Drosophila melanogaster: one gene and its partners. The protein of the gene in region 1 interacts with the protein of each later gene in a biochemical or structural test. Each region holds a gene or a part of one and is shown on either strand. Other genes may lie near its edges.

Region 1 (4,998 bases):
GCTGTCAGGTCAAACAAAAGTGGAACACGACCACAGGACCTTCCTTTTAACCGATTAATCAAATATGCATGACCAGAGTAATTATGTTTGATTAATACACCCATACGTACGCATATATACATATACATATATATTTCTTTTAATTATGTCTTCGCTCGGCTGCAATTGTGTGCGATTGCCATCAATTATATTTTTGCTTAACAATTTTCTCCTTTTGTTTGCTTTTGATTTCCTGCTATTTATCAAACATTTGCATAATATTTCATTCATTCAAAATTGTACGCTCAAAGAGTTTCACAAGTAAACAAAAGGGTATTCATAAAAATTTAAATCAAGTAAATATGTCAATGCCAAAACAAATATAATGGACGCGTTTTGTGTTGCACTTCCATTGCATTTTCAACTTTATTGTGCCATTTAAAAAAATATTGCAACAATTGTAAGCTGATTAAATGGGAAAATATATTCAGGTCATAGAGTCATAAGCAAGTTTAATCAGCTACAGTTACTTTTTGTATCAATCCAATTCGATGAATTGTAGGAAACCATGCACATAAAATACAATTTTTTGCTTATAATTTGGCTCAATATTATAACCCTTTTTTTTCTAACGAAAGAAGGGTTATTAATGTCGTTCTGAAATTCTATAAGCTCAACCGAAATATTTTATAGAGTAACCAAACAGCTTTTAAAGCCTATTTTCTGTTCGGCCTACTTCACTTATTTGTATCTTTCGGTTACTCGCATCTTAAAGCAAGCTTATGAATTTCTTTTCTGTGTGACTTAAGCTGATTTGGGCCAGACAATGAATAGGGAAAGTCAAGGCAAAAAAAAAAAAGGTTAAGTACAATAAAAATAATTTATGTATTTGGGCAACTTTCTGACGCGCAAAGTTCCATAATAAGTGACCTTGCTGAAGCAGCGTGTAAATAAAATGTTGTTTTATTTTCTTAGAAAATGTCTAGCATAAAATGGCAATCTTGTCGGGCGGAAAGTCTTAGTTACCTTTTCCCTGAGCTCACAGGTAATGGTGTTGGGAAAGTGGTCAAAGGTGTAGCATCTAAGCATATTTTCTAAGGCAATCTCAGTAATGGAAATTTGTGGTGGATGCCACAGAAATATGTGCCACATGAGTGGAAAGCTACGACTCTTAGTAAAACTGAAAACGAAGGCATTTCACGTGACCTATTTAAATGTAAGCCTTACCCATCGCGAATTTATGGTTCTTAGCAATAATGTTTCATTATAAATAATGGATCATTAGCTAATTAATTTCAAGAACTTAAAAGAGTTTAAATAGGCTTATTAGTATGTTTCCGAAGAACAAAATTTCAGTTCGTAGTAACTGAATCAGGTTTATGTTCAGTTGCCTGATAAAATTTTAATTAACCAACAAGTAGCTCTCAAATACTTATAACACTTATAATATTCCGTTTGTATATTAATTAAAAATAGTCATTATTATTTATAACACCTTTCCATCAGTGAGTCTTAATATAAGCTTTTAGGAGCATAAATTTGGTGTCCTTCCCCCACAACATTTAATAAAATAAGTTGATTGGAATACCACCCACCTGTATGTTTAGGCACGTGTGTGCCCAGAGAAATTCTTGGCATTTTCATAATTAAATTGAGCTAACAATCCAAGCTCCTCCCACCGGCAACATTTTTTCCTGAACAACTTCTAACCACAGCAAAGAGAAACAGCGAAAAAAAATATCACAATAAATAAAAATGTAACCGTACCACCCGTTGGCTTGGCTTTTCCGCCACTGGGAAAACCAACGCACCACCCAAACTCAAACAATGACACATTGGTTGATATGTGTTTTTGTTTTTTTTTTTTTTTTGTAAGGAAATACATGATTATTGGTGTTAACTAGTTAATGAAATTATTGGATAATTGGCTCAATAAAATTAAAAGGGCTCACCTTTGCTGCGCTGCTGTTGTCCTTTGATCCTGTTTTGTTGCAAATTTTTCGATGTTTGGGTTTTTGATAAAACTCAAAAGTTTCGGTACCGAATCTTTATGAACCTTGGAATTTTCGCAGTGCTAATTTTCACTTTTGTTTTTCAATTTTTTATCATCTAAATAAAGGGACTTTAATGTTTGCTTTATCTCAACCCATCAAGGCCTGTGAACTCATTTTATATGCCCCCTTTTTTTCATGTGTTGAATATCTCAGCCGTGTGATTCCCGTATTTAAACCATTTCTCGCCCTTTTTCCCATTTTATGCAAATATTCCCGGTTAAGCGGAATGCGACCCTAATTTATGAGCCCCAAAGGGAAGGCGAAAGAAAAAAGTTAAAAAGCAAAAGTTCAGACGAGGGAAAATCGCAACATTTTCCGAGAAATTTTAAAAGGAAACCCCAAAGTATTTCTTATAATTATTTCTAAAATTCTCGGACCGCGTTAAGAGATATACGTATTCCTGGACGACCTTGGCGGTCTTAAAAAACAAAACAGCACGCGAAGATGAATAACATTTTTTGTGTGAGTTGGCTGTATGTGCAACGTGCAACGAGTGCAACGTTAATATGCCACAGCCGCCGTGTGGCCTTGATAGGTAAGAATTGAGGTGAAGGATCAGTTGGGGCAGGTTCGGTTTTTAGTTTTAGTCTGGCTTAGTATTTTAGTTTGGTACTCGAATATTCAAGGATCGCTGGCACTCTTGCACACTTTATTTTGGGATATTCGTTTCACTTAAGTGTTGCATACTTGATTTTGCACACTGGCACGCAGGTCTAGATTTTCATTTTTCCGTAGATTTCTTCATATATTTCGTTGCTTTCACATTGCGTGCGTATATTTCACATTGGCTCATTTATTATTTACCTTTATGGCACACTGGACAACTTTTACTTTCGACTAGCGCACCCGTGTCCGTGTGAGTAAGCCCACTTGTGCGTGTGTGAGTGGCGTATTGAGGTTGTCCTCCGAACAGGACCTTCCACCGCTTTTCACCGTGAGAACGAACCGAACGATACGACTGCACTGAATACACTGAAAGCCACACGAACGGCGTCGGCTTGAAAAGCCAGGCGACCAGCCAAAGCTCCCATTTTCCTCTTCCCCTTTTTCGGCGAGAGAGCGAGCTTTTCCGCCTAGAACAGTGGGCCAAAATGTATTCATCCTGCCAGCTCACTTCCAGTCGGTCTTCACTCTCACCGATGGCACTTTCGAACTTCCCGAAACATGTGGAGTCTCTTTGATATCCGGCTCTCTTAAGGCAAGCATTTAATGGCCATCTGTTGGCATCCTTACGAAGCCACAACTCTTTGCCCCGCTTTGCAGAACTCAACACTTGCCAATAGTGCTATTTTGTACCACTCAAAAGGGTAAACTACAGCGTTTATTCTTTTGTTTGTTATTTATATTCTCCTTTAAGCAAACATTTACACATTCGTTGTATGTTGTTGCTAAATTATTAGTGGAGATACAGGAATACTCTCTTACTACCATGCGGCACATTTATTAGCTTTTATTGGTTTGTTTTCTGACAGTTTTCTTTAAAGGTCAAAGCTATTAAATAATATTCGTCACATTTCAGTAAATATTATTTCTATCTGGGCATATAAGATAATTCATGTCAAAATAATTGGATTCTTTATAGCAAAGATATATTCTTTAAATTTAAGCAGATGAAAATTTCTTCTTGCTTGGTTGATTCTTTAACTCGTACAATTCGATTTTTGCAAAGCTGTCAGGGATTTAAAAAGGTTATTTAAATTCCGCAATTGCTATCCATGAAATGGTATCCTGATCCAAAGTGGGTGGTTACTGGCCAGGGGAGTGAGAGACTTCTAATAGGCAGCTCCAGACACTCGGCCTTCTTAAGCACTTAGTGCACATTAAGTGCCAGGGATTCGGATTGTTTGCTGCCCAGTCGTTTGGACTCATGCCCAATCCACGGCAGACCCCATTCAGCATTGAGAAGCCCCGCTTTCTTCCCCAACTGCTCCTTAGTCTGCTTCAAAGTTAACTGACACTTACACTTGCACTTCTGTGAAATCAAATGCATTCGCCTTGGGCTTGGATTTGGATTTCCTTTATGTTCGAGCGGGGCTACCCATTTTCAAGAGGCTGGAAAAACGTTTTTCCAGTTAACGGACACTGAATGATTGGGTAGCATTAAACGGGTAGCACTTTTCGGGTGGGTGGGGCTTAAATGACTTAGTGATAGACTTAAATGAAAAGCCATAAAAGATTGAAAAACCATGCAATCGGTCTGAAAGTTTGCATATTAAACCATTCCATTTAAACACATCCACTTTAGAACGCAACATATTTATTAACCAATCCTAGTCCTCGCAGAATTCTTCCTCCACTCTAGCACTTGTACATCAAACGAATTTTGGTCCAATCCCCTTCGGAAGGTCCTCGCACCTGACCCATTTCCCTCTCCACAGCCTTACCACCGATTAGGGCACGAATTGTTGGCTTTGAGGGATCCTTGGCGAAGGCGTTCTTCGAATAGTGCATAACGCTCTCGTAATCGTATGGAACATTGAAGGTGGTTGTCTGATCCATGGCCATGAACTGCGACCAGTATTTCCTCGGGATATTGTCGTAGTCGATTTGCACGTACTCATCGCGATCGGGACGACTCTGCTCGTGGAAAAGGCCCAGCAGGTGAAGGGTTTCGTGTTGAATTACAGCCGGCATAGTGAGGCATTTCTCGTTAAGGACAACTTCGTGCGGACCAAAGGACAGAGGTTGATAGCCCACTCGAGTGCCACACATATTGGGCGACTTCTTGAAGGACACATATCGTTTGCCTGCGGGCGGAGCTCCTTCGATCTCTTCGAACTGCACACAGGTTTGCTCGCCAAAACTTGACATTGCTGTCCGCACATTGGCTACCTCCTGTTCACTGTAGTCCGTAGATATGCGGTACAATATCTTATTGCCTGGCCAACGTTGGAGTGGAGAAGTCAATGCATTTCGGGTTTTGGCCTCCGCCTGCTCGTCATCAATATGTATCTCGTTGTAGTAG
Region 2 (4,712 bases), on another chromosome or scaffold:
ACAGAGGAGGCAATCAGGCAACCAAGGCCCACATACAGAAACGAAGAAATCGCTTCGAGGTGGTATGCCATTTTGCTGTAAGTTTGATGCCCCTTTTTTTTACCGTTGTTTAGCTTTTCAATTAAGAAAACTTAATTATTTATTGCGTACAAATATTGTGCAGCATTACAGTATATTCCGGCTCATGTTGTGTTTGCTTTTGGAATCGATCAACGTTTAATTGCGATTGGCTTTTATGCACGCTACCCCTGAAATATGAGGAGAAATTATAGGTTGCCATTATTGATGAAAATATTAATAAAAAAAAGAAATTATACATGGCTTCATGCTTTTAGGCTTAAGTGTACATTTAATTTGTCATTGCTCAATTTTCCATTTACCGCAAGGAATGAGACCTGTTTTCGTGTTACACGGCTATCCCATACCCTTTACACGGCTTATTGATTACAACCGTACTTAATCATATCTTATAAACTTTAATCTAAGCTTTCAAATTTATAATAGTTGAAGAGATTTTGTATATCATACATACGGACAGACGAGCGGACACACCATTTTTTATGCTTAAGATTTTTATGAGCCATTTTAACCAGACCCACACCTGGCTTGCATCTTTTTCACGGATTAAGGAGTTTTCAATAAAGAGGATCAGCATTAGGAAGATATCAGAGCAGTGACGAACCCTAAGTCTCCGAACGACCTCAAATCCGTTCAAATGCCAGGGACAACGTTATCGTCACCATCAGAATTATCAGCTTCCTTTTCGTGGTTGTTTTGCTGCATGCATGCATAGAAGAATTTTTTCCTTGTTTTTAATTCCTGCTCGTGTCATAAGCGAAAAGCAATTTGCTCTGTCAGCTGTTGTTTTACACTCCGGCTACGGCAGTCAAGTAAACCCATGGAGGTCCTTCCAGTCTCGTCAATTTCTTCATTCTATTGCAATATGAATGCATTTCAATTAGAATGCCTCCTTGGGGACAGCTGTTGTGGATTTTCCATTAAGTAAGGGTTATTGAAACCGAATTGCAAACTTAATTGATTTCTAAGCCGGCCGACTTAACATTCATTTTGGTTGTGATATCTAAACAAAGATTTTGAACGTTATGCTGAGGAAGATTTTAGTGAACCATTGACATCTTATAAGATTCAATTTTGTTTCTTATAAAATGTGTTTTTTAGATTTAAGCGTTAATGACCCAAAGTTCACCTGATTGATAAGCAACCAACTGATGGTCAAAAATATATGTATTATTGTATGAATGACATAAATACGTGATAGTTTGGTACACCAAAATGTATTGTCTGGTGTATTTTCACGCGACGACGATTGTTGCATCCATAGAACTAACCGCGAAATGTAAATGGACCGTGAATTCGTAATGCATTTAAATCATTGTAAACAGCAATGTTTGTGCCCCGCAGACAGAAAGGATATTTCCCACATCTTCGAAGTGATGTAGCCGCATGATGAAAAGGAGCCAGCGGTGAATGCTCCGCCGGTCTGACTTCTGCTCTGTCTTTCCGTCTCCTAGGGAGCATTTACTCGCTTTTGCATAATAAATCAATTTACATTTCCTTTCACACGCAAAAATGAATAACGAATAATAGCAACAAGCCCGTGGCGCAGAAATCTTCTATCGTATTCTTCGGGTAAAAGTACGTATAGCATGAGAAAGGAGTGCTTCCTTTCTGCACTATAATCACACCGAACCGAATCAATCAATCAAAATGAAATTAATTATTTAATTATAATTATTATTTCTTTTCTTTTCCACAGCACAGGGAATTCAACCAAGTGCTTGTGTCACCCAAAGGATTCGATCTTTAGAGCTAACTTTTTAATGACGATTGTGTTTATTTATTACTGAAGTGAACATAAAACTTCAATTTCACACTAACCGCAAACAGCGCATCGTAAATTCGTATTACCTCTTAAAACGATTTCATTCCACGGTATATTAATCTTTTCGATCGGACAATCATTGCAGATTTCTGCACGTTTGTTTACATATATAGTAGCCGGCTTTTGCACTTCGGTGCACATTGCCACCACGTAGACGGCCGTCAGGAAGATATATAAATATCTGAGTCAGACTGTGCCGCGGGAACTGGAAACGCACAATTTAAGTTGGAAATAAAGACAGAGGATGGTTTAATTTAAACAAGTAGATATTGGTCTTTACGAGGATGCCATTGGCCATGTAAATAATAATAATAATTTGCTACGCATTTAGTACTTAGTTTCATAAATGAAACAAAAAGAAAATTAAATTTGAAGTTAGATTTGCATACAATTCGCATTATTTTGAAAGCCGGCTAATGAAACATTCAAAGTGCAATCAATTGCCTGCACAGCTTCTCCCAGCAGATGTAAACCAATTCGGAAGGATCCTTTGTAAAAGATGCAGCTCCCTAAACAGGCCATCCTGCGAACTCACTATTCAATGATGCCCCATCTGCAACTTCGTTCTCCTCCATCCGATGTCGCCCTGCTTCCAGAAACTAATAACTCACCGTGGCAATGTCTGGCTGCTGGATGGGGCGTCAGATGTCGGCAGGAATCAGCAAATCAATTTATAAATAGAGCAGCGAGACAACATAACAACGGATTTTCATGTTTCCCTCTGCCGTTCTCCGTTTTTGCAACATAACTAAATTAGGGGACCACGCGGCAGACACACAGACGCCGTCACAAAGCCAGCAGCTCCTCCGGTGGGCAGCGGAGGTGCATAAATGGCATGGGATATCGAATAAAAGCACTCACAGCAGTTGATTTACAACAACCATTCGCCGCCACTAATGCCAATCGAAAATACTATTTTAAACTATTTGGCCAGTGCAAATAAGAAAGACCACGTCCACGCACGTCTAACGAAACCGATTCTGGTTCTGATACCGTTACCGATTCGGGTTCGGGATTCAAAAGCGATTGCGACTGCGACTGCGAATACTGATGCGGATGCGGTACCGCAGACTAACGACAACCGAACGAAACGACAGCCGATTTCACACTGGCAGCAGCATCCCGTCGTGCGATTCACTTCGGCTGCGGCATGTTAAAAAGATAAACAAATGTTGCGGTTGGCCGTGATTTATGTTAGCTTACATATGTTTATAGCCCTGGCTGCAGAGCCAAACAGCACTTTCTGCTACTAACAGCCCCGAAAACAGCGAACAATCAATCCAACGATCCGCCGAGTGTTTTAATGCACCACTCCACTATCCGTTCCGTCAGCTAATGCGGCGGGTTAAATTTTATGTTCATCATGTGAGAGAAAAAATGTGAGAAAAGCCAAAGGTCGCAGAATTTCCAGTATTAGTATGTGCATATGTGAGCTAAATAAAGAAACGTATTATTTCTTTCTGAACATAATAGAGCAGGGCGTATCACTTGTGTAAGCATTTTTGAGTTATCCCTCAAAACTCCCTCATCTGTCTTACAGTGAAAACATGTTTTTCATCTTCGCTAATCATTGAACATTTGTTACTTGGTCTTTGAGCGGGCATAATGGAATAATAGCTTAGCACTTTAACACATTTACAGCTAGGGACTGCAAACGCATTTCCAAGTTCTGTGACCATAAATGTCAGAGTTCAAAAGGCAAGACTTCTTTAGCTTGCTGTTAACATCGCTATCTTAAGAAGAGGATGCTGCAATACAAACTTCATTAAAGAGAAATTTATAAAAGAACTTGGTTTCTTTGCTCTACATTTCCCTTTATAACCCCTAACAAAGCTCACACAATTTGGTCCTACAAGCCTTAACATTTCCCATTTTACACCCCAAGCAAAGCTTCATCATGTCGGTCCTGCAATACCCTAACATTTCCCGTTATTACCCCTGATAAAGCTACTGCTAGTCGAAAGCGCTCCGTGCCGTGAATTTATTAACTTTGAGCGTCCGTCTAAGCTTTAAGTAGTGACGAAAGCTCCTGTCACAAGACGCTTTGCTCTCCTGTTGACTTTAGCCACTTGACAGCGCAAAACGCGAAAGCCACAACACTCAGTCGAAACAGCTGACTCTCAAAAGGTGGCCACCACCCACCACCCAACTGCTGCAGGGCCAAACAGAAACTCCGTCACTAGGCTTACGGAGCATTTAGCCAAGAAAGCGTGGGGGCGTCACCGTCACTCACTGACGTCGACGCACTCGGCGCATGAAAAACAGTTACGCTCTGTGCCGCGGAGTGTGTGGAGTTGCGTTGAAAGGGGCTCCGGAGTCCAAAAGGGTAATCGGAAAGCCCACGGGAAGGGGCCATCACCGCGGAGCCTTGACCCGAGCGTAATGAAATGTGGCGCCTGGCTGGCGAAAAAGTGACGTGAAATGCCAAGTGCAGCCGCATCGAAGCCAGCAAGGATCTTGTAGCAGCGACAGGAGCAGCCCCTTCTCCATGGGTTCATGCCTTGGCAGCTGTGCCACAGCTGCCGCCGCACCAGCCCACTCCGCCTGCACCTCAACGTCCGACTCCACCACCCACTCGACTTCCTCGACGTCGTCTTCACTGACAACTCCCCCCACGTCCTGGGTGGCCAACAGCTGGCTCTGGTGAGTGGGGCCAATTAGTTGAAGCTCAACTCCGCTGACTTTCGTTCGCGCGCAAATCCGCTGACCAATCAATAGTGGCTAAGCACGGGGTGGAATTGGCTAGTTGGGGGTCAACAGCCTAAAACTATGCAACGGCCGCTGGTTGCCACAAAACAATGTGCCACAG
Region 3 (4,971 bases), on another chromosome or scaffold:
TTCCATTTTAATTAAATAACAAAAATAAACAGACAAGCGTAAAAATCAATTTAAATGACCCAGAAATCGCTGCCAGATCATTAACATATGTCACCAGCAAAGGACACAAAAACCGAAATCATACGCACTGTGCGTGTGAGGGGGCGTGTCCTTCTGGTCTTCATGTGTGTGTGTAAATCAGACGAAATGGGCGTTTTGCTTTGGTTTTTGACATTTTATTACGGACAACATTGTTTAGCTGGTCCGATCCCCGTTCGGCTGGGCTTGAAGTAATTAGGTTGAAATTACAAATTATGGGGTCCATGTAGCAGATTATAACGACAGAGTTCGAAAAGCGGCTGAAAGGGAAATGACCATGACTGGTTTCACTGGTGGAAAATTACGACAGAAAATCATTTGTGTCGGGGGGTAAAACAAATGTTTGAAATTTTTTGCCCTCCTATTTCCGGACCTTTTTCAAACGGACAACAAACAGCAAAAGCAGCAGCAGCAGCAGCAGCCAAAACCGAAGAGAGCTCGTTAAAAAGCACTTAGGGGCAAAAATCAGGGACGGAGGCAGTTGGGTAATTATGATGCAATCAGTACGTAGCCAGAAGTCCACTTTTAGGCCAGAGCGCAATCACAACTTAACAAGCTCGACATGTATAAATTGTAGCTAACCAAGGTTTCCGCTCGCGTAACGCGAAGAAAGCCTTTTACTCGGCAAATTCCATAGCCTGTGACAAGTGAAACTTTTCGTTCGCCAAAGAGAACTGTATAAAAGCTGAAAGCGGGAAAAATCCAAACGAAAAGCCCGAAGCGAGCCAAGACAAACCATAAAAGACAGCCTCAACTGCACACTCAAGTTGAAATACAATGTAAATTATGCTCGGAGGTAGCAGAAGAAATGCCATTCATGGCTGTCATCTCCTTTAGTCCGTCTCTTTCTGCCCATTCAGGCTGTCTCTTTCCGCGACAGGAGAATCGTCGGCCAGGCAGCTGAGCAATTCCTGCAGATCTGACAGCCAGCGCACATGGAATTGTTTGCAGATGCCTGAATGTGGATACACTACACCGCCAAATTGGCATTCAAAAAATATTTAAAATAAAATAAAAATTAATTTATATTTTAAAATAATTTTCAAAAAGTATGTCTCTTAAATTTAACAATTTGAAGTTCTTTAATTTGGGTTTTAACTATATTTTCGCTTTCAATTGCAAAAATCTTCTGGCAAGTTCTTATCAAAAACATATTTTTAATAATTTTTGTAAGTGCACGCTTAAAAATGTCATAGAGTGCAGCTGAAAAATGCATTGAAATTCGTTTTCGTTTCGCTGCCATGAATACTTCACTTCGTCCACCCACAACATTTGCTACCAAGGAATCTTTTCCTTTATTTCCTTTTTAATACCACAAACAAACTAAACAAAAATAAAAAAAAAATGCGCAGAAAACGATTTGATAATTTTACATTCATTGTGTGCAGCCTGGGAGTGCTAATTAGTAAATGTTCCTGTTTTCCCCCTATTATCCTTTCTGTGTGAGCTGAGGGAAAAATAACAATCTAGTAGGGAGAGCTCCGAGCAGTTAATGAGCTTGAGGCGAAAACATAGAAGCACACATTTTCCTGTGGTCCATTTGGGTAACTAAATAGCTTATGGTTAGTTTCCGCGAATTTTAAGATTGCCTTTTGAGTTGAAAGCATTTGGCTCATTTAAAATTTTTCCAACTTTTAAATTAGCTTGAGGCATTATATTGTACATTTAAATTAATATTCGGATATTGCTGATTTTTACTGAATTCTTCAAAAGTTTTAAAAGTTCAAAGTCAACTTCAACTGACAGTTCTGTTCCACGCACCTTTTGCGATCGTCTGATTCAAGGGCTTTAATGTATTCAAGTGTTTAACAAGCAAATTTATGAGCTCTTCACCGCCTTTATCCGTTTTCCTTTATAACTTTCCAAGTGAACCCAATTAGAGTTCATTTCTTGGCAAATTGCTTCGTCTGGCAGCGATTACATTTCAGATTTCCGACCTGTCAATCTCTGGAGCAAAGCGAGCTCTTTGAGATGCAAAAAACAATTGATTTATTAATGCACTCGATGGCAATAACATGGCGCTCCTTGTTATCCGCACTTTTCCCGAGCCCAGTGCACTGAACCAGAAAGATGATGATGTTTGAATAACGAGGCAAATGATGGAAATAGACGAACCAAAAATAAAGGCAGACTATAAAAATGGTGGATAACCAGGAGCCGAATGCCGTGAGACTTGAGTTTGCTCTTAGTTGCCGGCTTGAGGAGTAATTCCTTTACAAGCTGAAGGATATTAAAAACAAGAGAGGAAGGACTTGTGCTGCAGCAGGACTTGTGCTGGTGGGAGCAGCAGCAGGGAGAATGTTGCATAAACTTAACATAAATAATGGAAGCAATATTTCAGCTGCAGGAGCCATGGGGCAGGATCCAGATCCTGCAGGAGCAAAAACGGAAAAACAGAACCAAGCAGAACCGAGAGCCCTGAGCCCAAGTAGCAACAAATGAAGTTTGGATGACTTGCAGCGCCGGCTGATTGCCGTGAAATTTATGTGGCACAGGGCTGAGTGAGCAAGCGTCTCTCGTCTTGAGCTTCAGCTGTATTTTTAATGAATTTTCCCCCGAATTCAAATTGCTGCAAAAAAAAGTTAATGGTAGGGAAAACTCCGCGTTCTCATTTGCTATTTTCCGGCTTCAGTTGCATTCAGGTAAAGCGAAATTTTAACGATCCAACCGCAAAATTTATTGTCGCCTGCTGTTGCGACACGAATTATTTTTATGGCCAACCGCACTAACACAAGATTTATTTTAATTGTTACACACTTGGTGGTTTACTTTGTATGTTTAGGTATGAGCACTTTTTACGAGCGAGTAATTTGCAATTAACTCGTTTTTAACTGTGATTAAAAGATGATTAATTTGTTGTGTTTTATTGAGAATTTTCCCTTGCGATGGAAACTCGCGGGCTGACTTCTACTTCCGGAGCAGGTTCGAGTCAAACTGAATTCAAATCGTGCCGCTCAATGGTTCGCTTCATTGGCAAAAGCAGGAAAAAAGGCTTCGGGTATCCGAAAACCGAAGTTTTCCATTCGTATTCACTCGCTTTGGACTTCGTGTATGAGTACGGCCAAAGTTTCGTTCAGTTTCGAAAACGTTTTCAGCGCAAGCGTCGTTGTTTTTCGAACGAAACACGTGCTCGGCTTTTGCTGAGAAAGAAATTCAAGGAGAAAACGGAAGCCAAATCAAAACAACATTTTGCGCCCTTTTTTTTATATCAGTATATCCCCCAACTTGGGCTGTTGTGGGACAAAAATGTGGGTGAAAAGAGCGGAAGAAGTACAACAGCAGTTACAACAACTCGCAAGCAACGCATAAATCTCATTGGCCAAGAATGTGTAAGCCAAAATTAAATCCAACGAGCGAACCGGCAAATGCTGTTCCCTCGTTTGGTTTACGCTGCGGTTTTAGGCCTCCTTAAGGGTTGACTTGAACTTGAATGGGTATTTATGTGGGGATTGGGTTCGCTTTTAGCCGGGCAAAGGTAAACATGGGTAAAGCAGGTGATTAGAAAAGGAATAAAATATAAGTAAGAAATTTAAAGTGGTAGCAAAGTTGTTACCCATAAAAATACGGGTATAACACTTGGTTGTGGGAATTTATATAAAGTATTACACATATTGCAAATATTTAATTACTCTTTCCTTATAACAGCAAATATGAAAGTGTATGTAAAGAAACATTCTTTTCAGTGGACTGCAAACCACTTGTGTTATGCTGTGAAACTTAAAGAGACTAGTACATTATGTTACCAAATAATGATAAAGACTGTTACTAAACTCGTGGACGCCCTTTTGCCCATCACAACAGAATCTGAATTTGCATTTGGTTTTGCTCGTGCAATCATAACGCACAAGCGAACCCACAAATACGCAATGACCATGGTGGCAGAACCTTACGCAATCTTTAGCCAAGGGAAATATTCTATTTTGCCTTCTTATCTCGGGACCTCTTACGAGGAAGGCCCAATGATTTCTTAAGTTTTAATGCAAAATTTTGCTTTCATATCCGCTGGTTCCGACGGTTAGAATGCTGTTGAAGTAGTTGCTTTCCCGGTATTGTTGTACCCATTCCCTTCTCCACAGTTGTGTCGGAAATCCAAGTTGATGTTTTCTTTATAAGTTCTCAAGTAAACAAGGAGCCCACTTCCTTTATGCCAGGACCACCGCAGTGAAGGCCAGCCTTGCTAAGGCTAAGTTGGATTTCAGGAAGTGCGCTCTTATACCAGGAATTTGTTTTGTTTTCGGCATATTACAATCTTGTTTGCTTTACTGGCATATTGCGGTTGACTTTTGCCAGCTGCAATAAATGAAAAAGTCAAAGAACCAGAATGGAAAGCCCAAAAAATATGAAATCCATTGAAGTCTGACTGTAACTTTAATGGAGATGCTCTTTGTGGTCCCTTTACAGTATGTGTGTACTTGTGAATCCATCAGCCAACCGGGGAAAACTCATCATAAAGTGTAGTGGATGAGAGACTTCCATTCCCACAGACATTGCAGATGGAGCCGAGGAAGGATTTACGGCATCCGCATATGGGCATCATCTTTATCCGAGTGTCTGCGGCTCCTTCTTTTATATTTATTACATCATTCGATGGCATAAACTCGCATATTAAGTGGATTGATGTATTAATATTTAAACGGCGATTTGTGGTTTGCGGTAAGCTAAAGTTGCTTGGGGGTCCAAACTCGAGCAAGTGCTTAACCTTTGACCCTTTTACGAACATATGGCAGGCACTTTAGGCATAATGAGGCATCAGCATATCAGAGAATCGATAAAACTAATCTTACCATTTTGTAGTACCATTATTTTGCGACCGCCCTACTTCCACTTCCCCCGATCTGGTCACATTAAAAGGCGCCACGCATTGTGAAGTCCCGTGCAAACTTTTGTGTGTGC

The links. The genes of interacting proteins can lie anywhere in the genome.
Region 2: the proteins of dpr9 (region 1) and DIP-epsilon form a complex in vitro, tested with the Drosophila melanogaster proteins (one study listed by BioGRID).
Region 3: the proteins of dpr9 (region 1) and DIP-delta form a complex in vitro, tested with the Drosophila melanogaster proteins (one study listed by BioGRID).

Annotation. Positions count from the first base shown.
Region 1 is NT_033777.3:15,074,199-15,079,196, forward strand, and holds the start of dpr9 (defective proboscis extension response 9), read right to left. Parts: upstream 3,009-4,998; 5' UTR 2,838-3,008; intron 2,089-2,837; 5' UTR 1,932-2,088; intron 1-1,931. Other genes in the region: CG6974 (uncharacterized protein), read right to left, coding at 4,332-4,998.
Region 2 is NT_033779.5:6,408,313-6,413,024, forward strand, and holds the start of DIP-epsilon (Dpr-interacting protein epsilon), read right to left. Parts: upstream 3,015-4,712; 5' UTR 2,515-3,014; intron 249-2,514; 5' UTR 72-248; coding exon 1-71. Other genes in the region: CG13982 (uncharacterized protein), read left to right, coding at 4,392-4,546.
Region 3 is NT_037436.4:5,422,152-5,427,122, reverse strand, and holds the start of DIP-delta (Dpr-interacting protein delta), read right to left. Parts: upstream 3,015-4,971; 5' UTR 2,848-3,014; intron 1-2,847.